Arabidopsis thaliana: one gene and its partner. The protein of the gene in region 2 interacts with the protein of the main gene of each other region in a pairwise test. Each region holds a gene or a part of one and is shown on either strand. Other genes may lie near its edges.

The links. The genes of interacting proteins can lie anywhere in the genome.
Region 1: the proteins of IRT1 (region 2) and AT4G30370 interact in a two-hybrid assay, tested with the Arabidopsis thaliana proteins (one study listed by BioGRID).

The regions. Positions count from the first base shown.
Region 1 is NC_003075.7:14,856,689-14,861,592, forward strand, and holds AT4G30370 (RING/U-box superfamily protein), read right to left. Parts: upstream 2,816-4,904; 5' UTR 2,586-2,815; coding exon 2,055-2,585; 3' UTR 1,756-2,054; downstream 1-1,755. Other genes in the region: CNGC17 (cyclic nucleotide-gated channel 17), read right to left, coding at 1-10, 95-851, 1,063-1,091; AT4G30380 (Barwin-related endoglucanase), read left to right, coding at 3,798-3,897, 4,029-4,302, 4,395-4,401.
Region 2 is NC_003075.7:10,704,935-10,710,601, reverse strand, and holds IRT1 (iron-regulated transporter 1), read right to left. Parts: upstream 3,259-5,667; 5' UTR 3,116-3,258; coding exon 2,528-3,115; coding exon of another isoform or gene 2,480-2,527; exon of another isoform or gene 2,443-2,479; intron 2,433-2,442; coding exon 2,283-2,432; intron 2,185-2,282; coding exon 1,879-2,184; 3' UTR 1,587-1,878; downstream 1-1,586. UniProt on the Arabidopsis thaliana protein: High-affinity iron transporter that plays a key role in the uptake of iron from the rhizosphere across the plasma membrane in the root epidermal layer. Acts as the principal regulator of iron homeostasis in planta.

The DNA.
Region 1 (4,904 bases), 4.2 Mb from region 2:
CACCAAGCACCTGTCCCAACAAAAACATTGTAGCTTTGATTATCATCACATTTAAGGAATGAAATAATGGAAGAAGAAGGAATGGGATTCATACATGACTAGCCAGCATGTATAGCAAAAGATTATAAGCAGCTCCAGCCCAAGCAGTCTTTGTAACAACTCCAGTTGCTTTAACAATTTGAGAACTTAACGGAATTATCAAATAGAATCTTGGGATGTATTGGAGGAGCACAATCAAAGCAATAGCATTGTTGTTATGATCAAACCGGTAACTTTTTGTAGTCGATATAACAAACCAGATAACTATCTGTGGAAGTGGTAACGTCGCAATGAGATCGATGATGAAGTCAGATTTAATATACCTCCAAGCAATAGCCTTAGGATCCATCACAAGCTCACCTCTACCAAACACTCTAGTACTTGAATTAGGCGCAATGAAACCAGTCCTAAACTTAATGAAAATGTGCAGCAAGTAGAAAAGATCCGCTATTGTCCTGAAGAAAGTAACAAGGATGCTTAAACTTGTATCAGTCCTTGCACAAGGATAGTTTTTATCTCCTCCTATAGCTGGGACAAAGAAGTACAACGGGTCGATGAAGAGAGCAACCATACATGAGACAATGAAGACCCAATTCCATTTCAAGACAATCTCACTTCCTGGATCAAGAATAGTCTTGTACCATGAGACTTTAGAAGATTTGGACTTAGAAGCATCAGTGTATCTAAGTCTATTTCCAGGTAAGAGATTATCAGGTCTTAGTGCTGAAGGTAAAGAGAGCTTATAAGATTTGCTCATTGGATCATTCACTGCCCATTTAGCTTCTTTGCTTTCTTTCCCCTCTGAGTAAAACCTACAAAGCAATACACAACTCAAATCTGTAATCTGAAACCTAACTAGAGATTTAAGTTAAACCCAGTACCCAAAATCGGAGCTTGAGCTTGTAACATCTAAAGAAGAGATAAATCTAAAGCAAAGTCTAGAATTTTTAATTTCTGGGCAATCAAAGTTGAAGACTTTCAGGAACGTAAGTCTAACCGACGGATGAGAGAAAGAAAACTTACATAAGAAGCTTGTCCTTCCTTAACTCCATTAGAAGAAGCTCAAGCTCAAGCTCGAGTAAACAAATCTATGCAAATTAGAATTAACAGAAGCTTTTAAAAATCATTTCTTTGATTCGTGTCTCTGACACTCTCTCACTCTTACTCTCTCTAAATCTGAGAAAGATCGTGTTTTTGTTTAGTTCTTCCGGAGAGGATTGGAAGAGGAGAATCACTGAGTCACGGGACGAGTCAGAAATCGGAGGGATATTTGTTTTTTTTTCTTGGGAATACTTGAGCCATCGGTATAAGACAAGAAAGTCAACACATTTGACTAAAGTGACATTATTTCGTTAATCAAAGTCATTATTAGTTTACAATACAAAACACTAATTAGACAATGTTACTTGTTACTTCACAAAAACACTTCTTTAGTCTTATAGTCAGATCCAATCACAATCACTTTCTCCGTGTGAGTCACAATCTCACATTCCAATCAGAAAACGATTCTTTAGCCTCCTTTATTTTTATGTTCAATATAAACTTTTGAATCACACACTTGAAAACATAGTTGACATAACTTTGGAGGTGAAGTAGGTAAATTAAAATCACATGAACCAAGCTTTACTTAGAACTTATACTTCATCATGGACAAATTGAAACAGAAACATTGATGATTAACCACTGAATCTCAAGTGAAATTATGAGAAATCATTAAGGTAACATAAGCAACATGTTTAAAGTGACAAATGGACAACATTTCTATCAGTAATTGACTAGATTGAATTTAATAATTGGCATGATAATCAAACCTCAAACTAAGTTAAATTCTACAGAAACCCATCATTCTCTTATTGGATCAAATTCATCAAACGGTGAAGAAACAAGCTTTCAATTGTGAAGCCGTGTAAAAAAAAAAAAAAGACACTGTACATGACTATTGATGAAAACCAAAATTGCTGCTAAATATGATAACAAACTAAACACACTTTCAAATCTAATTATAAAACCACCGATCAAAAAATTTCACCTTGTGGTCTCCATCTTCTTCCTTCTTCAAATCTATAAACCCTATCCCTACAAATCGGACAAGTCGAGACTTTAATCAACCACAAGTCCACACACTTTCGGTGAAACACATGTCCACATCGAGGCAGCTTCCGACACCACTGTCCTTGTCTAAATCCATCGATACAAACAACACAATCATCGCCTCCGTACTCTGAACTAGGCTCACAATACTTGAATTGAGGAAGCCTCTTCACGCATCTTGGAGATAACCCATCTGAGTATTCGTGACGGCGATGGCGGCGGAGACGGTGGCGATAGTTTCGTTGAAGAAACCAGTAGAAAGCGAAGAAGAAGGTGAAACCGAGAGACGTGAGGATAAAGATAAAAGCGGTTATAGCTACAGGGATCATGATTAGACCTATGAGGAAGTTAGAGAGAATCTTCGTCGGTAGATTCTTCGTGTTCGCTTTTGGCGGCGGTGGAGACGGTGATGGCTCGCGGGAGATTGAGCCATCGTAGGGAATCGTTATCGACATCGACTTGCGGCGGAGATTAAAAATATTCTCTTTTACGAATCAAACTCTAATACTCTGTTTTAGGGCTAAATAAAGGAGAGATTTTTATGGATTTTGAAGATCGAAAATTTATCGGATTCAAAGTATATTGTACAAAAGAGTTTGTCTGATAGATATTTATATGCGGGAATATTCGGACATCTTTTTTATATCAGTTTTTGACGATAACTTTTTAACTAGTTTTGGCCCTTATGAGAGGAACTCGTGAGCAAAGTCTTTTTTTTTATATACCAAATTTTTCATTAAATTGATTAAATTTAACTAGAAAGAAGAAGATTAAGCGTATATAAACACAAATACACAGACACGTTTTAAAACAATGGGGTTCTGATAAATTATGTTACTAAATTTTGATCATACAGAATGTAGTTTGGCGTTACAAGAAAACTAGAGGAGAAAACAAAGGGCGAAACCAGACTTCATTTAAGGATAAAGTATTGGTGATGAGATTATATAAAATAGGGTTCAGTTTTGGGTTCCAATTATTATCTCTGTCCTCTGAGCTTCCTATCTGGTAATGCCGAGTGGGAAGTGATAAGGACAATCCGACAAGGGCAGCTTCCTCGGTAACTCCATTCCTTATGTCACCATACCTACCTTTACATTCAGAAATTCTTTGCATCATTTTTAATATTATCTCGTTGTTTCTCACGTTTTATTCCGGTTCATTTTGCGGTTATGATCCGGTTATCTTCGTGGTTGAGCTTGGTTTAGAATAATGTCTCTTATCGTCTCGTTCGGCCCATTAACGCTCGCCTCATAACTGTTCCATATGTACTAGTCCATAAATATTGATTTCACTACATTTAGGACCTATAAAAGGAGAGTTTTTTTCCTTTTGATGAATTGTTTTTATGAGATTGTTCATATAAATTTACGTGGCAAATTTGATCAGCGTAGTTAGTAAACGTTTTCTGGAGTCTTTGGCTGTAAATTTGCTATCAAATGAGGATAACAATCTTTCTAAACCTTTAGTCAACACAGATAAGAAGAAATTAAATATAACAAATTTACAACTATACACATGTTAAAAAATGGGAACAGTCAAAGATATTTCAATGGCAAACAATTACAATACATGCATATTTAGAGTTAGTCATATAATATATAGCAGATATATAAATAGATATGTCACATTTCAAAGATAAACACTCTTACAAATAAATACGAATCATGAGTAAAAGTATTGTGTTTTTTTCTACCGTTCTTGTTTTTCTCTTCTCTTTCTCATATGCAACTCCCGGGATTGCAACTTTTTACACAAGTTACACTCGTAAGAATTTTTGTGTGTTTTACTACCAAAATTATAAAACAAATACAAACAACAAACTTATCTTATACATTTTCATATCAACCTACAGCGAAATGTTATAAAATCATTTTCTTTTATTTCATGTTTGATAGCATCAGCATGTTACAGAGGTACTCAAGAAGGAGTGATGATCGCTGCAGCGAGTGATACATTATGGGACAATGGTCGAGTTTGTGGCAAAATGTTCACCGTGAAATGCAGCGGACCTCGTAACGCCGTGCCTCACCCTTGCACGGGGAAATCCGTGAAGGTCAAGATCGTTGACCATTGTCCCAGTGGCTGTGCTTCTACGCTCGATCTTTCTCGAGAAGCTTTTGCTCAGATCGCTAATCCTGTCGCTGGGATTATTAACATTGATTATTTTCCGTAATTATTTCTCCCAATCTTTATCACTTAATATTCTTTGTTACTTTAGAAAAGCAGGATTTTAATTATGAGTTTGTTTATTTGGATTTCAGGGCCTAAACGTCGATGAAGCTATCAAGGAAAATAATGCTCAAGTCTAGAAAGTCCTAATGGAAAATGTACACACATCATGACTTTTGTATAGTATTTCAAAATATGAATAAAATCGTCGAGAGCTTACACAGAATAAGATAACCAATCAAAGTAAACTACCATGATAAGAAATACTTACTGATTTCTATTATTTTGATTCTCATTTTGAAAACAAAATATAATAACCATACTTGGTTTTTACATGTAACATAATCTGAAAATGACAGACATATGTGCAATTGAAAATTGGTACAACCATTTTCTTCACATCATCGAATTCGGATATGCAGAAAAAGTGCTTGTGACAAGTTATTTGATGGTTTAATTCCGGTGACAATTTATGTACACTCACATATACCAAATAATGGTTTGCAGGTAAGAGTTTTGCCGAAATTAGCCTGCTCTAACTTGGAGATTGAGTGAACACTCTAAATCATTAGGTATGAAAACGTGAGACTGCGACTCTGGTT
Region 2 (5,667 bases):
GTCAATAACAATAATAATAGATATTTTAGTTTGAGTTTATCAAAACATTTAGTTGGATTTGGATGAAAATGTAACGGTACATAAAGAGTGGCTATAATTTGTTGGATTTTGGTTTTGTTTATGAACTAGCACACTACAAAAAAAATCATGCAAATGATGAAATCTTACAACTCTTAGAACGGAAATTTTGATAGGACTTTTCTACCGTAAACCTACATTTTGACGAAAACATAAGTCAGAGAAAATATCCTACAAAAGAAAACAGTGAGAAGAGCCATGGAAATATCCTAGCTATATGACTGCATGAGTATGAAGTATGAACAAATCAGCCTTGATAATATTGTTCCTCTTTATCCCACCAGCATCTTAATTAAAAGAATACTGAATTATGTAAATCCATTCATATTGTGACACCTCAAACTTTATAAATTAACCTAAATGAGGTGACCATGTTGGGGAATGGGGGCTAAGTAACTCCATTAGAAGAAGAATGAGATAACCAAGTAAAATTAAAGTGAATCTACAGTTAAACTTCAATATTTTTCGAGATGTAGGTCACCCAAAAACGATACATATATTACAGCATAAATTTGGAAAATGTTAAAGTTAAAGCACAATATTGTGAAGTTTTGAGACTCTAAAATGCTTATAACTAAGCTATAAACATACTGCTTCACTGATGAATGATGTATTTTCTTCACTTCCTTCAATGGTCATGATCATACTCATAGTCATGAAGAGGATGACAAATTAAGAAAGAGGAACATCAATGTACAAGAGGCTTATGTTCATGTCCTATGTGATTCAATCCAGAGCATGGAAATGTTATAATTGGAGAAGCGACAATATGGTTCACGAGAACCATATTTATATGAAAATGGTACGTTACATAGTTTAGTGACCAATGTAAAACAGATACATAGATTAAATAGAGAGATATATTAGTGAGAAGGCATCCTACATTGAGATCACAGCTCGAGTTTGGTTCTTCTCTTCACCAATCCGAGCTGTTATCTCAATGTAGGATGCCTTCTCACTAATAAGATAGAGTTAGGTGAGTGGAGATAAGTTTTTTGTTAGAAGGACACATAATTGGGCTGAAAGTAATGCCCGTACCCAAATCAAGTGAGCCTTCATAAATGGGTCGATAGATATACATTTTCCAAGTAAAACCAGCGCTTTTGGAAATCGACTGAATCTGCATATAAAGTTTATAAACTTCGACTATGTATCTGATTTTGTTTGTTCGAACTTTGACTTTAGTTTCAAGCGAAGACTAAAATTTATTGGTATTGGTTCAATTGGTAGACATATTGATTTTATCAACAGAACCCGGTTAGAGAACTTGTTTAAATTATATACTTAAATCAACTACAAGGATATCAATGCCTAGTAATACTCAAAAATAAATTTGAGATTTAAAGCAGTATGGGACGATATGCAAGTGATTGACAATATTGCCAAGCTAGTAAGTATATTTATAGACTACGTGATTGTGATTAAAGTTCCAATTATTGGTATTTAGATTTGTCGAATATAGATTACAAAGTAAAATAATATATATTTTTCTTTAATTTACTTATCTTGAAAAAGCAGCAAAAGTTTTATTTATTTATATGAGATGCAAAAACATTACACGATATGAACTATACTGCCTTGACAAAATAAAGGAAGATACAAAAGAAAACTATGAATCGTGGGGCCTATCACATTTACATATCTACCAAAAGACATGTTCCTTAAAATGTGATAGATCCACGCAAATCTTTTGTAAGAGAAGATAAAAAACCGATAGAGAATCGAGACGTAAACCTAAAACGGTTTTAGTTCGATAATGAAATCCACATGATTTCAATTCCGCAATATCTGGAGTATTAGTTAAGCCCATTTGGCGATAATCGACATTCCACCGCACCCGAGAAGAGCCGCGATTAAACACTTGAACTGCATTTTGATGCTACCTTGAAGCTTAGGTCCCATGAACTCCGCAGCTAGAAGATCCACGAGTGCCATGTAAATGAGCAATCCAGCGGAGCATGCATTTAGAAGTCCAACCGTGATCAAAGCTTTTGGGCTATTATCTTGGTAAACAGTTGATAGAGCGATCCCTAACGCTATTCCGAATGGTGTTGTTACCGCGAAAAAGAACGCCATAACAAATTTCTTCATATTTGTATACTCAGCCTGAAATTATCTTAAACATTAGATGTTTCATATTTGTATATACAATTTCAACATTTGGCTAAAGATAATTTTTTTTCTTTTATCTAAAGTATATTTACCTGGAGGATACAACCGCCAAGACCCATGCCTTCGAACATTTGATGGAAGCAAAGAGCTGCTATAAGTCCTTTAATGGTGCAAGTGTCACTAGTTGCTCCTAGAGATAATCCAATGACCACCGAGTGAACTATGATCCCAAGTTCCAAGACCTATATATCCGTAGAAAGTTAGATATACCTATGTATTCGGTAATATGTCATTTAAAATACAATGATATTCGGTATGTATATATGTGCGTACGAACCATGGCAATGACTCGGTATCGCAAGAGCTGTGCATTTGACGAATCATCTTCTTTTATTGGTAAGGTAACATCATTTGCGGGGCCGTGACCATGACCATGACCATGGGGCATGATACCAACTGCGTTCTTGCTGGTGTATAGGCTCGTGGCCATGGAGTCAATGGCTAGAGTGATTAGACCCGATAACATAGCGAGAAATCCGGAGAAAGGAAATTTATGCCACGGGTTCTCTTCAAGACATATAGATGACAACATTTCGAAAGAATCAGGTAAAACGTGCATAAAACCGGTTCCAAGGATGATCCCGGAGGCGAAACACTTAATGATAGTGAAGATGTTTCCGTCTGGTTGGAGGAACGAAACGTTACGGCTAAAGAGAGGAGCTCCAACACCAATCATGCTTGCAATGAGGATTACGAAGATTGCTATGACTTTGAGAGGCAAAGCTTTAGCTTTGTTGACGCACGGGTTCGCTGACTCGCTTCCACATTCTTCCGGCGCAGTTGAAGTTGCTGGAGAGATTGCAAAAGAGACAAAAATGAGTACGAGGAAGATTGTTTTCATGAGAAGTGCTGAATTTGAAGCCATTTTTTTTTTTTTTCTTTTTTCTTTTGGATTGTTGTGTGTTTAGATTGTTTAATGTTTGTGTGACTTTGGACTTACTAGATGAATCGGTTTATATAGTAATGTGTGCTGGTTGTTTTCATGCCATTTATTGTCGATGATGACGAAATTTTATTTGATTACTCGTTTGCTTCCAGTGTGAAACGAGAAAATAAAGTAATTAATCGTTCAAAAGGAATAATGATAGAATTATGAAAGTACCTAGCTAGATTTTATTAAGTTGATAGAAAATGCATTTAAACGATAATATAAACTTAATAAAATGTCTTAAATTTGCATATTATTATATTGTACCAATCACTTATGTAAAGTTCTTTTATCCAAAGAAATATGACTCAGTGACAATTTATTTTGTTTAAAATCCATAGTATGATTTTAAAAAATTAAGTATATTTTAAAGTATATTTTATTTAAAAAATTTAAGTATATTTTATTAAAAAAATGTAAGTACATTTTATTTCAATCAGTTTTATCAAGTTATAGTTTCGTAAACATTCGAGTTTTTAAATTTGAAAAAGGCTATATTGGAATTAAGGTTTATATTATCGTTTGAATGCATTGTTCATGCCGTTTGCAGACCGCTTGAAGTCAACCCCATGCGTCTTCTATAGTTCTGTTAGTCAACTCTCACAAACGTTTACTTTTTAATCTTGTACTATTTTTAACTTTAAGCTTAATTAGGTTTATACTTTATAGTTTATGCTACGAGCACAACATCACACGTGACAGCTTGTGCTCAGTGTATGGTTGCAATCCAGTCACCAAAAACACTACATATGAATGTAGATTCCTCCTCCTTTATTCGGTAAATAGATTCCTCTTTTCATAGCTTGATGTCTAGTTTTCAAAAATGACATACATATAAGTCATTTTTCATTTTTGAATTGATTTTTTTTCAAGGTTTAATAACTAAGAAACAACTAAGTTTTTGGGAAAGGATAATGACAAATAGAATTCCATGAAATCGGGTATGAATGTTTAATGTGTCAATCCATGTGCTCCTAAAAAAGGGACATCTAGCTATGAACTTACGCATTTTTACATGAACATATAGTCACTGACTTCATTTATAAGATTATGGGGTTATTGACTTAATGATTATTGGTTTTATGGTTATTAATCTAGTTATCTTTTAGGTAAGGTATTAAGATATTTCAATGTTATAACTGTATACATAATTTCATGTCTATTAGGATTTATGAGTTCTTTTGATTCTCATGTCGTTTCGAAATAATCTTTTTTTTTTTGGTTTTGCATGGTTATATAGAAGAAGGCATAATTAATTTGATTGATTGTCATGCAATTAATCATCAGAATCATAGAAAAAATAGTTGACACAAAATAAATTATAGAAAATATAGTTATCTACATTATCCTGTATATTCAATACTGTCCATGCCGAGTATGTATCCAATATTCCATGGCATGCCTCCTAACTAGTCAACTTCGGTTATAATTTTCACTATTTAAGTTTTATTTCTTTGAAGAATGATTAATAAAATAAGCATCAAACTGGATTTATAATATAGTTTTTTTAAAGGTATAATATTATTAGTTGAGTGGTTTACCTCCCACGTTTTCATATGGTTGGACGAGCACGAAACAAAACGTGCCAAACTCATACTCCACCGACGTGACAAAATGCTTATATGTCTATTCGTTAACTTTGATACAGAAAATAGAATGAACTTGGGGAGATTTTCCATATTGGTGAAATAATTTTCTTTTTTCGGTCGAGAAAAGAAATATTTTTTAATTTGTGTCAATGTGTGATTTCGCTTAATTGTAGACTTCGTTTGTTTTCTCAAATTGCGCAAGTAAAAAACACGAATATATATATATATATATATTTTTTTTTTTCTGAACATAAAATAAAAAATAGATATATTCGTGTTTTTTACTTGCACAATTTGAGAAAACAAACGAAGTCTAGAATCAAACCAAATCAGATATTGACACAAATTAAAAAAAATAGTAAAAATTATTCTAAAAACTATAAACATTTACAATTGTCAGGATGAAGTGTGTATGATTTGAAAAAGATAATTTCAAAACTTGATTAAGGCATTAGTAAAATTGAAGACTATTCAAAGTTATTTAATAGTATGTTCTAAGAACTTATACTTCAAGATAATGCATTTAATCTTTAGAAAGAAATGGTTCAACTTGTTTCAATAGGTTCAGAATTTACAAGTATTTGATATGATTCCAGGTGTATGGAATCAAAACATGTGTGGAAATTTACAAATTAGTTAGTAAGTCTGTTATTGTACTTAAAGTTTTCAACCAAAAAACCATGAAATGGAATGAAATACATAGAATTTATAAGCTTTTTAGCTTAAGCCATTCACACCTACAAATTATGTGTTAGATATAGTACATTATCGAGTTTTTATGGTTAAATAGTTGTCATGAAATATTGTGTAATTTAAATCTAACCAAAGTAAGAAATTTTTCTTTATTAAAACAAGAGACTGTATGTACATTTTCTTGAAGAGAGTAATTTTAAATATAAT